3 linked regions of the Rattus norvegicus genome follow. The protein of the gene in region 3 purifies or fractionates together with the protein of the main gene of each other region. This does not show direct contact. Links are inferred from orthologs where the notes say so. Each region holds a gene or a part of one and is shown on either strand. Other genes may lie near its edges.

Region 1 (4,057 bases), on a different chromosome or scaffold from region 3:
TCCAATTTCAAATCTAAATTATTGGTTAAAGTATTGCTAGAATTTAAGCAACCAAAAATTTTCTTAATGAATCTTTTTATGCTCTAAAAGGTCTGCTTTAGAATTTATTCTACAATCAAGAGACTTATATATATATTACTAGTTATGAGAAGTAAACTACAAAGTTATAACACTTATCAAGTCATTATTCATATTAAAGAAAAACTGTCAATCTCAGAATGGCTGAGTCACTCCTGAAGAAACCACTGTTGAATCCAAATAATTCAAATAAACCTTGCACACAATCAAGTAATTTTGCAAAATGAAATGTATAAACAACCTATACTTAAATGAAAGACATGTAAAGATCAGTTAAATAATTTTTGATATGGTCAACCAAAAGATGCACAGTGGATTCTAAATCACCCTACTTAGTGTAAAGCTGTGCATTGAAATACAGAGGCTTCCACTGTACCAAGTTACCTCTGGCTGACAAAGTAACACTAAGGAGAAAAGCAGCAAACCTCACTTCAACCCTCTGCACCTCTCCCTATCATATCCATCTCTCCCACCTTTCCACAAGTCTGACCGACTGGAGTCTATGCATCTCATCTCACTCCGATTTACTCAACCACTCCCTTTGCATGACTTTCCCCAGGCAACTTCAAGAGCCTTTTCCTTGAGTTTCCTACAGAAAAGAGCTTCTTTCAGACGTGCTCCTGCCCCGGTATCATTTACATGCCTTTTCCACCAGCATTGGGATTTTTGGTAACACAGAGCCTGTTGCATAAACACGGTTGTAATTATTTAATATCAAAAATGAGTGATCTACATGAATACAGCACAATTTCTGGTGGTTTTTAAAACCTGCCTCATAAAATACCTTTCACACATGGCTATGCAGTAAGGAAAATTTGCTCTACACTGTCAAAAGGGGGAAAGCAAACCACACAGAATATCGTCAAGATTTATATTAAATCGCTCCCACTAATGATGGCTACTACAGTACAAATACTCTGAGGACTTCTCAGCAAACTCCGCCCAACTCCCCTCCAAAAAAACTTAAATCAAGCAACCAGAAATTTGCTGCAGCAAAATACACTCGAAATACCGGAGGGTGAGACACTGTCAAGTGTCTCACATGTAGTCCAGGTTTATTTCAAACTTTGGGTGGTTCCTGAACTTCCAAAATGCCGGGATTATAAGTGTGGTTCACGACCCAATTCCAAGCATATTAAAACTGCCTTAAAATCACAATCAAGTTCTTGTCTAGTACGGAGGAACTTGTGAATGTACTGAAACGCCTGCAGGGCATGCTACTAGCAGAATACCACATGTTTAAGTCCTAAACTATTTAAAATATAAAAGTCTTAAGTATCTGGAACTATTTTAAATTGTTCCTACAAGGACAATTCAGCTATTTTCATGTGGACTCACTTTTACACTACTATAATGGGTTTACTTTTTCTTTTCCTACTGGAATCGATATGCGCTTAAGGGAAATTGTTTTCACCAGTTGCTGAAATTAAAACGCAAGGTATTAACTTTCCAAAGGGGGAGGGGGGCACTTTTCATTTAAAGATAGGAAGCACGTGTTCTTTTTAGCTCCTTAAAATGCAGTAAACTGTTCTGTATAACTTTTCGTTTCCTACACACTGAGAAGGCAAACGGCCTCGGATCTGAACAAGGATCACCAAACCAGTGATTGTCTATCACAGTCAGTGCTCCAAAGTCAACAGTTCCAGAGCTGTGTGGCACCTTATCAGCTTTCTCCGGGTATGCTGGGAAACCGCAAACGTAAGAGGGTCACAGACCCTGAGTCGTCTTCAGTAAAAAGACAGTGTGAACTCAAGGACTAGGAGCACAAGGGCTGGGTCCTCCGTACCTAAGGACGAGTCGACGTGACCCAAGGGACCCACTCCCATTAACCTACGACCATGCATGCCCCAGCTGACGCACAGCTTTCTGCCGCGCGCTTGGGGCCGTGCCAACACTCGGGGTCAGTCCCAGCCAGACACTGCTGGGTCTCCCGGCTTGACAGAGTCCGGCACCTGACAGGGAAGACTCCGGGCGAAGCCCGCGGTCTTGAGCGCCTCGCCCGCGGGCCGTGCCTACCCAAAGGCGCGGAACGTCGCCCGCTGGCGCCCGCAGACCCCGGAGCTCTTGCTCCCAGCCTCCGGCTCGCACAGCCTGGACCGCGCCGCGGCCGCCCTGGGGCAAGGACGCCATGCGGGCGGGCGGGCAAGGCGCGGGCGGGCTCCCGCGGCGCCCCCGTGGGCCGCAAGATGGCGGCGGCTCCGGGCAGAGCCCTCCGCGGCGTCCGTCCGGCTCCCTCCCCTCCCCTCCGCAGCCCGGCCCGGCAGCGGCGGACGCCGAGGCGCCGAGCGGAGGGACGCAGCGGAGCCGCGGCTCCGACGTTCGGTCCGGGCGTGGGGGAGGGGAGCGCAGCCCGTCCACCCCGCCGCCGCCCGCCGGCCCCAGCCCCGCTCGGGCGCGTCCCAGCCAGCCTACCTTTGAATTTGAGGTCTGAAGGAGGGTCGAGGACCAGGATCTGCTCGTGCTTCGCCATGGCCCCGGAGGCGGACGCCATAGGAGACAGCGCAGAGCGGGGGCGCGCCCGCGGCGGCGGTTCGCTGGCGGGGGCGGGGGACGGTGGCGGCGCCGGCTCCGCGGAGCTCTAGGACGGGGCCAGGCTCACGATTCCCGAAGCTCCGCGCCTGCTGCCGGGCCGCGGGTCCCGAGGGCTGCCTGTCGGGTCAGCAGCTCCGGGTGTCACAACTGACTCAACCCCACACCAGTCGCCGCGGCCACGCGCACTGCGATCCTCGGCTCCCCACGTGACGGCCTTACGTGTCTCCGTGCGCGCCCCCGCGGCCCAGAGCCCTCGTGTTGGCCCCGCCCTCCGGGCCTAACTGGGCTCGGCGCTGAGCTAGTGCGCCTGCGCACCTCCGACTTGGCCGCAGCTCCCTGCGCCGCGCTGCTGTCAATCTCTGTAGAGCGTGCAGGGGGCGTAGTAGGGCTGTTTGTGGGAGACGGGGTGCGCGGCGCCGGGCGAGGGGCGTCGTTCTTGGCGCCCTGGAGCTGCGAATGCGGGGCTGTAGCGCCGACTACGATGCTACCTCACAGCGTTCCAAGTGGAATTCCGAACGGAAGACAGTCAAGAAGTGCCGGGTACCTCGACTCCCAGCATGCCCCGTGCGGGCGGCGTCTCCGCGGGGGCTGCTGGGAACCGGGAAGGCAACCCGGGTCCGTTGGAGGCGAGTGGGTGGGGCCGCTGACTCTGCTTTTGGCTCGCCGAGGTTGTCTCGTCTGCATTGGAAAAAGAAAAGGGTTTTTGCAGGCTGCCTGGGAGCCAGGCATCCCAGGAGAGACGGCCCTTTGGGAAAGCGGCAGGGCGTGTCCGTCTGGTCTGCCCGGGATTCCTTCCGCCCTCTGCGGACGCGCGCTCTGTTCTAACCCTGCCGTTCCAAAGCTGCCTCCCGGATCTCCCTCCTGCCCAGCAAAGGGAAACACACCTCGCGCAAAAGCAAACGGGTTCCAGGGGAAATCTAGGCCAGGCACAAATAATCAAGGGTAGAAACCAAATGTCTGCTCCTACGGCGTGGAATTCACGTGCTGTATCTACAGTGTGGCTCATTCCAAATCTGTTTGCCTGGTTCTCGTGCCGTGCTAGGGACGAATTTTATCTGCATCACTTAGGAGAGCCTATACCAAATGAGAAAAATTGCCAAGCAAATTGCTGACAGATATTCAGCTCATTGCCAGGGTATCCAGGGACGGGAAGAGCAAACAAAACAAATGGATGTGCTGTAAAAATAAACCTTTATTGTGTCCTATGGTACTGCTTGAATTTAAATCTCTAGGAAGCTCCGTGCGAAACAAAGCACGTATTGATGCTTCTGCCACGGAAAGGCATCCTAGACTGTCTGGAAAGTAAATGTCGAAAATGGGCAGTCTAGAATACAGCTAATTAAACTTTTTCAACTCTCCGTCCCGTCACCTGAGAAATTTTTATGCCACCCTGGGTATATAGGATATAAAATTGTGGTATAAAACATTGATCACAAAAAAAAGTTTG
Region 2 (3,987 bases), on a different chromosome or scaffold from region 3:
GTGTGTCCTATGTGTCTGCCTGGTGTCTGTGGAGGTCAGAAGAGAACACTGGACCTCTGGACTGGAGTTAAGAGATGGCCACCCGTCATGGGCACTTGGAACTGACCTGTGTGGTCTGCAAGAGCCACACCTCCTATAAACTGCTAAGCCCATCTCTTCAGTCCCAACATCCAGAAATTACCATTCTCATACCCAGACATATTCTAAGTTGCCCAAACTGGCTTTGAACACTTAACTCCTATCCAGTAGCCTGGAGAGGATTATGGGTACGTATCTACACTGGGCTGCCTTTCATCTATTTTCATATAAGAACCTGGTGACAAGGTCTTACGGTTTGAGCGAATGTGAAATCCTCCTGCCAGAAATTCCGTGCTGGCAGCCCTTTTTGTTTACATCGCTAATGTCTGCTCTGACAAGAAGTCACTGAACCTACTGGACAGGGAGGAGACCCCAGGCTGCCCGATGGACCACCGTAGGTCCCAGAGCTGGTAAGAGTAGGCTTAGGCAGAGAGAGGTGTCCTGAGCCTTTCACATAATTAGAATGGTGTCACCGGCCCGGGGGGCTCACTCACCAGATCCTCCACTGTGGCAGGGCCCCGGGATCGGAGCCGGAGGGTCCCTCGGCCAGTGCCCAGTTGTGGGCCTGAGCCAGGGTGACCACCTGATGAACGCTGGCTGATCATATCTGTAGAAGGCAAAGGTAGTGGGGAAAATCAGCCCACGGTAACACAGTACGCAGGCTTCACACAACCACCTCCCACCACCTTCAAAGTTCTGCAGGCTCCTTGGGTAGGGACTGGGTTCCAGCAAGGCAGGACTTTGCATGGATGGTGAGGGGCAGCTAGGGGCCAGACATAAAAGCAGCTGGAGAGAGAATGGAAGGTAGCTTCTATTTGAAGGAGTGAGGGTTGAGAAGGGTGAGTGTAACTGCTGAGTCTCAGATAAGCCCTTTCTACCCACATCAGGGGTGCCTCAGGCCCATTCCTGAGAGTTAGTGAAGCCAGGTAGAAACGGGGGGGGGGGGGGGGCGCCGGGCACAGGAGCCATACAAGGCAGCCAAGCCTCACTTCTCCAGGCTGAGGGGGCTGGCCAGGGTTGGGGGCACTCGGCTGGGCTAATGGCTCCTGGAAGTCGGGTGTGGGGGCGACTTCCTTCTGGCTGGGCTGTCAGCCAGCACTCAGTTCTAGGGTAGGGTGGGGCTGCCCCCACTCTGCACTGCAGGCTTGAGTGCCACCTGCTGGTGGTTCCCAGGACTACAATCTGTATTTCTTAAGAGCTCAAGGTCAGCCCGGTGGGTGGTCCAGGTTGCAAGAATGGCTCACCAAACGCCTTCCGAGGTTCGGTGAGTTTGAGGGTGAAGGTGCGGCCTCGGGGCAGCTCTTTGAGGAGCCTGGCAACCTCATAATGCCGACAGCCCAGCAGGCTCTGCCCGTTGATGGCTTCAATCATGTCACCCACGCTGATGAGCTGGATGTGGTCAATCACACTGCCTTCCTTGATGCGCTGTGGAGGGGCAGGCATCAACCCTGGAAGCTCCACTCTAGGTCCCATTAAAGACCCTGGCCACTGACTAAGGGTGTGCCACCCACCCGGGCACCTTAATGAAGGCATAGCCGGCCCCGTTGTCGGTGATGGTGAGCCCCAGAGCATCCTCAGACTTGAATACTTCCACCTCTTTGCGCTGCCCCTTGACATGGGCAAAGATGAAGTCCTCCAGCCCGATCTGGCCCCCCAGCAGCTTGTCCATATCCACTTTATGGGTGTTGAGGGTACAGAACATCACCTGCAGAGGTGGGGCAAGATGCTCATCCTTCCTCCCTGGGTCCCCTATCCCAGGGACTGGTAACACCCAAAGCCAAGGAGAGGTCCACTGGCACATCAAATGCTATGAGCAGGATTTCTGTCCTGGTAAAAGCTCAAGAGCTAGCTTGACATACAGAGATCACTCGATACTTACTGAGGGGTGAAGGGGGTCTAGACTCCCACCCAGCCTTCCTACCCATCTCCACTTGAATCTCAGTCCCACTGTTGCCCTCCCAGTGGCTTCTCAGCTTCTAGCTTGGAGTCATGCCTCCAGGGCACCCTGGAGAAATAGAAGCTGCTCCTAACACCCTCCCTCCCCCTCTTGAGGTCCCACAGTATTTGGGGCACAAGCTTCCCAATGCCTTGGAAACCCAGCTGCCACCTGTGGCTGTCATCCTCCAGGACACAGGCTACTTCAGACCTGATGGGAAATCAGTATCTGCAGACCCACAATTTACTAGATTACGAGCCTCGTAAGGCCCGTTGGGAAACCCCCCCCATACCTACTAGGGTACAAGTCTCTCAAGGCCTCATAGGAACTCAGTATCCTCCTGTAGCCACGCCTCCTAGGTTCAGGGGCTGCTGGCCAGCAAGGAACACGAGCCCCAGCTCACAGGAATACATGCCCAGGCCTGTGGCTTGCTCTTAAGGGACCGTGGTCCCACTGGTACCTCAGCAGCCGGTAGTCGGAAGGCCTCAGCGATCTTGCCGTACAGCTCCTTGACATTAGTGAAGCCCTCGATGCGGCCCGTGGGGCTGCCGTGGGCCAGCTGGGTATGGAACACGAGGCGAGGCCGGAGGGAAGCAGGAGGTGGGGGCAAACCCATCTGGGATTCCCCTGCTCCACTTCCACCCAGGGGCCCGGGCTCCCCGACGCCCAGCCCACTCCGGCTTGGCTCCGCCTCCTCATTTTCCACCAGAGGTGGTGCTTTTTTCCTTCGCCCCAGTCCCAGTGGCATGAGCAGCCAGAAGTGGGGACTTGGCCGGGAGACCTGCGAAAGGGAATCGGGCTTCACTCTCTGAGTACCAGCCTTGGGTGCCATCCATCACCACCACATGGTATCGACATCAACCAACATGGTTCTATTTTGCGAAGCAATGTTTCTTAACCCAGGGGCCTGGTGCTAGTCAAGTGCTCCACCACCGAACCCCACCGTGTCTGATCACGTGACTCAGGCTCCCAAGCACAGGGAGCCAGGACACCTCCAGCACATTGCGGCCTATATAACGTTGTGTTGCGTTTGCGTTCTGCTGAGGCTTTCATCGCCCCTGCTTGGCTGGCGCTTGTCCACAGAGCTGCAGCTCCTCCCGTACAGTGGAATCTGCTGTACACATTTAAAGCTATGCAAACTCTTCTTCCGCTGTATTGTCTGAAGAGTAACAACACAAGATTCTGTCCATGGTCAGCATAGGTACAAGGCTCTCTCCGAATCGGCCATTTTGGCCTTGTGCATGTGGACCCAAGCTACAAGTCTAGACTGCCTCTTACTTTTTAGTGTGAGGCAGTTATCTCTCAGTTGCTCAGCTGTCCTTGAACTTGCAATCCTCCTGCTTCAGACTGCAGAGTGGATGGGATTACAGGGAAATAGCAGGACATCTGCCTCACCCAAGTATTTTCTGTATACAGTGGATTCAATCTGGGCACCCAGAGCTGATGTGAACGAAGAGAGGTGACTCCAGATAGCTCCGATGCTGGGGTGCAGCTCAGTGGTGGAGCACGTGCTAATGAGGACCCGGTCTCATCCCAGCATCAGAATGAAGCCTCGCACTGCACAGTAATAATCCCCACAGAGATACCCATTACAACCCCACACCCGCTGCTCTGTGACCTCGTTCAATTCTCCTTCTGGATGAGGCATGAGGCCGTTGGTGCATCCTGCCCTGACCACACCCACTGGAGCAGACAACTGAAGGGAAGATAAAATGCTGGATGGCCCTTTACTTTCCATTTCTCTGAGAAGGCTCTCACTCTGTCGTCCAGGCTGGCCTAGAACTCACCAACTCTACCTCTGTTCATCTTGCAGTGTTGGAGCAGATGGAAACCACCAGACACAGTGTCTTTTCATTTTCTATCAGTTGCAGTCATTAATGCTCTGTGCAAAACCCAAGTTTGGGTCTGGTTTATGTAAAAGAAAAAAACAAACAAACAAACAAACAAAAAACCATGAGGAAAGATGCCCTTGT
Region 3 (4,210 bases):
AGATCCTTTCTCTACAGCCTTTTCTGGCTATCTGCCACCCCCTTCTCCTTTCTGCGGGGCGAGGCCAGCAGGTGCCCCAGGTGAGTGTCCCATCCCCAAACCTGTGTGTGTGTGTGTGTGTGTGTGTGTGTGTGTGTGTGTGTGTGTGTGTGTGTGTGCTGGTTTGCCTAACACTGTCGGGGCCGGTGGACTTGGACTTGTATGCAGTCATCAAAAGCATTTGACACCGGGAACGAATACATTCTCTTAAAGAATAAAAGTTTCCAGCACAAGAGGGGCGGGGAGTTCCCGAAGACCCTCTAGACGTGAACTCCTCGAGATTGTGGAATGGCTCCTCCGCTGTCCCGAGTGGAACCTATACTGTTGACTGCACCTCGAGAGCATTCAAGGATCATGAAGGCAGGGGTTGGTGGCGGAGGAAGAAGCCACCCGCTTCGCCACACAGAACTACTTTTTCGCTCCCCTCTATCCCCCGCGACAGTGCTGCGCGGAAGCATCCGCGCAAGTTTGGAGAGTCCGGGAAGCGGAGGGATCCCGCGTGAAGCGGCTTCCCGAAGTCCCAGGGAGAAGGGCCCAAAAAGTAGGTGGGGGAGGGGACGGCTAGGCGCGCTCCAGTCGCGCTGGGCCGAGGGGACAGAACCGGAACCGGAACCCGCGCGCGCGCCCGCAGCAGTCGCAAGGCTCGTCACCGCCGGCGGCCCCCTCCGCCCTGTGCGCGCTCCCGCGAGTGCCCCTAAGACCGGGCGAGCGGCCCTGCGCACCGATCCTCCGCCGCTGCCCCCGCTGCTCGGGGGCTGGGCTTCCGGGCCGGGCCGGGACCTCCCGCTCCTCGCGGGAGCCGCCGCCTACCAGAGCGTCGGGGAGGAGCCGCCGTGCCACTGCGGAAGAAACGCGGGGGCCTCCGAGGGATGGGGAGCTGCCCCGGGCGCTGAGACAGGGTCCCTGTCAGCGAGGCGGCCGGAGCCGGGTGGGGGCGGCGCGGAGCAGCTCAGGGCCTTCGGTCGGGGGACATGGGGCGGCGCGAGCCCGGCGCGGGACGGCGCGAGACGCGGCGGAGGTTGCGGCCACGAGCGGCCGGCAGCCCCAGATAGAGCCGGGACCCGAGGGCCGGGCCCCGCCGACTCGGGACAGGAGCCGACGCCCGTCCTCGAGCCTATTCTGCCCCAGCCCCGGAGGGATCCGGGTTCCCTTCCTACGGCTCGCGACTTCCCTCTGTGACGAAGTTTTCTCCCGGTGCCTTCCTGAGGATCCTTCTTAGTTCTTGAGCTCGCCTTGTGGCCGACTTGCTCGGTTTGTTTGGGGAGATAACTTGTTTTGCTTCAACCCGCATCCCCTTTCCTTGACCCTTTGCAATCGGATGTTCTAGATGACTGAATGGAGTTTTGAGTTGGACTTTTGTGTCCCTGCCGAAATTGGGCCTGATCCCAGAGTACTGGGGGTGGGGTGTGGAGGTGTTACTGTAAAATGCAAGTTGGATAAAAAGAAGACCTCTCGCCAAGGGCCCCAATGAGTGGCACACAGTCTACTATCACGGACAGGTGGGTATGAAGTTCCTCCGTTGCTAACCTTTCCTGGATTCGGCCCCACGCAGCAGGGGAGTCGGTGATTGCAGATCTGCCTTCAGCTAGTGCAATTGACAGGCATAGGAAAGAGGGTTGTTTCGGAGCTGTGCAATTAGTCTAGGGTTGCTGCCAAGTTATCCGGTTGATTGAATTTGGAAATGCAGTTTTTCGGGAGAGAAACTTTCCCCCATATTCCCAGAGGAAATGAAGGGAAACCATGATTGTGTTTTTTTTTTTTTTTTTTGGTCGGGTGCATTAAGATCGTGTACTCATTTTGGAACCAGAGGGAGGTCATTTTGGGTGAAGGTCAGTGCCTGAGGTCGGTGGGGATCGGTGCATGATCGGGTTGATTCCTGTGGTAGTTCTAGCCTCAAACTTTTAGGAGTTTCTGTCTGTGGACTTATATCCTGCTGCATGGCGATTGGTGACTCTGATCTCTTTTTACGTGTTGACCTGCACAGTGTTTAATTATTAATTACCTAATTTTCCAGAATGTTGACATTACCAGTAAATCACGGGTTCTTGCTGGGGACAGTTTCCAGGAGCTAAAGGAAATGAGGGAAAATCATGGGGCCTGCTTCTAATTATTCCTTTTTTTTTTTTTTTTTTTTACATTTCATCTTCCAGAAGCCCTAGCATTTAAAGATGTAAGCCCTAGGTCTGGTTTAGGTATGGCAGGTGGATCCTGACAAGGTGTTGCATGTAGAGCATGTAGTCCAAGTGTACTTCTTTGACTTAAGAGATCTGAGTTCTTTTCAGTGAAAGCAAGTTGGTTCCTTTAGCATATTTTTATTTCTCGACTTAATTATGACATTGCATATTACTTCCAAATTTTATCCTGCTTCTTTATGTCAACCTTCAAATCGTTGTCACAAAACAAAACAAAACAAAACAAAAAAGCAGATAATTGGAGCAGAAGGCCAAATGTCTTCAAGAGCGACGTTAGTGCTCCTGCGGGGAGCAGTTCAGTTTCCTAATGAGAGAGGCTCACCCAATTGTGCGTCTCATTTGTTGATTTTTAAAGGGCCAAATTCCATTATCATACCATAACAGCTTCTCCAGAGACAGAACTTCCTTTTCCTGTTGATGCTTTCCAGTGTCACATGAGTGTTCACCTAAAAGATGCCCCTAAATATTTAAAGGACTTATGTTTGCCTTTTGTGTACTTTGTTGGGCAGGATTTCATTTCAGTTTTCCTGCTAATACAGTTCACTTCTGTATAGAGACAGTTGGCACGGGTCTTCCTGCCACCCTACTCCCTCTCCTTTCGAGATGTCCCGCTTCTGAGAAATCACTCGCAGGTGTCCAGATAACCGCTCTGCTGGTTCACTTAGTTCTTGTCTGTCAGTTGAGCCTATAGTTAAGCAGACTTACCAGAAGCTGATGGCAGTCCTGGTTTTTATTAAGATGTTGCAGAGTTTAATTTGTAGAAAACAGAATTTAGAGTCATCGAATCATTCCACACAAAAGTCATACAAAAGCACCCATGGAAGGATTGTTTTTTTTTTTTCCCTCCCTAGCTTTGTTTCTGGGGGATTTTTGTTCTCGTATATAAATACGTTGGACATAAACATTGACATTTGGGTCTTTTGCTTTTTAATAACTTGATTCGCTGTTAAACAGTTCGTTAGTAAACATTGCAGAAGTAAAAGTACAAAAGTAAGTCTTAAAAAACAAATCCCTGTCTGTTTTATTGGTCATGTGTCTGAGTGTGCAGGTATGTGCACCTGAGTGCAGATGCCTTCAGAGGCTAGAAGAGGCTTTAGGATTCCATGGGTGGTTGTGAGCTTGCCTACCCTGGGTGCTGAATATCTAACTTGGGTCCTCTGACCACAGCAAGAACAGTGTGTGCTCCTAACCGTTGTGCCACCTCTTACCCATCCCCATCCCCCCTTCTTAAGGCTTTGCTGTGTGTTACTTGTAGCATGGCAGTCCTCCTCCTGCCTAAGCCTCTTGAAGAGGTGGGCTACCTCCCTGCTGGATTCTTGCTCTTAGATATTTATGTGAGAATGGTGGACGCACATTCTATGGAGTCAAGCGTTGGATCTGCCTCCCTTTCCCCAAGACAGGGTTTCTCTGTGTAGCCCTGGCTGTTCTTCTGTCTGTAGACTAGGCTGGCCTTGAACCCAGAGATCTACCTGCTTCTGCCTTCTAAGTGCTGAGATCAAAGGCATGTGCCACCGCTGCCGAGCTTAAGTCTTTCATCTTTTAACACAGGGGAACAAGTTGTATTGGTGAAGGGGAGCAGTCTAAATACATTAATGCTTTGTGGGGCTTAGGCCCAAATAACTCTTCATCATAAACCTCTACTATGTTGCCTCAGACAGCTGAGCCATGTAAAGTAAGATCCCGGAAGGTTTATTTCAAAACTGTTGGAAATCCTGCTTTCTGTCGGGCAATGAAGTTTGGTGTCTTTTCCCCCCTTTTAAAAGAGAATTACTAAGTGACCACTACTTTTTCTTTTCTTTTCTAAACTTAACTCTGTAACTATACATCCGCCCTTTCCCTTTAAGAGAGTAATAGCTCCTGGTTTGAGTGTACGTTGAAGTGAGATCTGGAAGTGCTGGTTTAGTCACACTTACGCCTTAGCAAAGTTCTTCCTGTAGACTCCAGCTTCTTCTCAGCCCCAGGTACATCTCTTCCTACCG

What was found. Proteins that work in one complex are often made in the same cells at the same time.
Region 1: the proteins of Arhgef12 (region 3) and Vapa purify together in Homo sapiens (affinity purification with mass spectrometry; 5 studies listed by BioGRID and IntAct, counting the BioPlex papers as one, with this or other methods). This does not show direct contact. The link is inferred for Rattus norvegicus from reciprocal best matches to the Homo sapiens genes ARHGEF12 and VAPA.
Region 2: the proteins of Arhgef12 (region 3) and Gipc1 purify together in Homo sapiens (co-immunoprecipitation; 4 studies listed by BioGRID and IntAct, with this or other methods). This does not show direct contact. The link is inferred for Rattus norvegicus from reciprocal best matches to the Homo sapiens genes ARHGEF12 and GIPC1.

What each region holds. Positions count from the first base shown.
Region 1 is NC_086027.1:112,651,932-112,655,988, forward strand, and holds the start of Vapa (vesicle-associated membrane protein-associated protein A), read right to left. Parts: upstream 2,801-4,057; 5' UTR 2,570-2,800; coding exon 2,491-2,569; intron 2,292-2,490; exon of another isoform or gene 2,095-2,291; intron 1-2,094. UniProt on the Homo sapiens protein: Endoplasmic reticulum (ER)-anchored protein that mediates the formation of contact sites between the ER and endosomes via interaction with FFAT motif-containing proteins such as STARD3 or WDR44.
Region 2 is NC_086037.1:41,381,143-41,385,129, forward strand, and holds the start of Gipc1 (PDZ domain-containing protein GIPC1), read right to left. Parts: upstream 2,801-3,987; 5' UTR 2,763-2,800; coding exon 2,475-2,762; intron 1,784-2,474; coding exon 1,598-1,783; intron 1,504-1,597; coding exon 1,323-1,503; intron 686-1,322; coding exon 573-685; intron 1-572. UniProt on the Homo sapiens protein: May be involved in G protein-linked signaling.
Region 3 is NC_086026.1:52,369,577-52,373,786, reverse strand, and holds the start of Arhgef12 (rho guanine nucleotide exchange factor 12), read left to right. Parts: upstream 1-1,410; 5' UTR 1,411-1,506; coding exon 1,507-1,538; intron 1,539-4,210. UniProt on the Homo sapiens protein: May play a role in the regulation of RhoA GTPase by guanine nucleotide-binding alpha-12 (GNA12) and alpha-13 (GNA13). Acts as guanine nucleotide exchange factor (GEF) for RhoA GTPase and may act as GTPase-activating protein (GAP) for GNA12 and GNA13.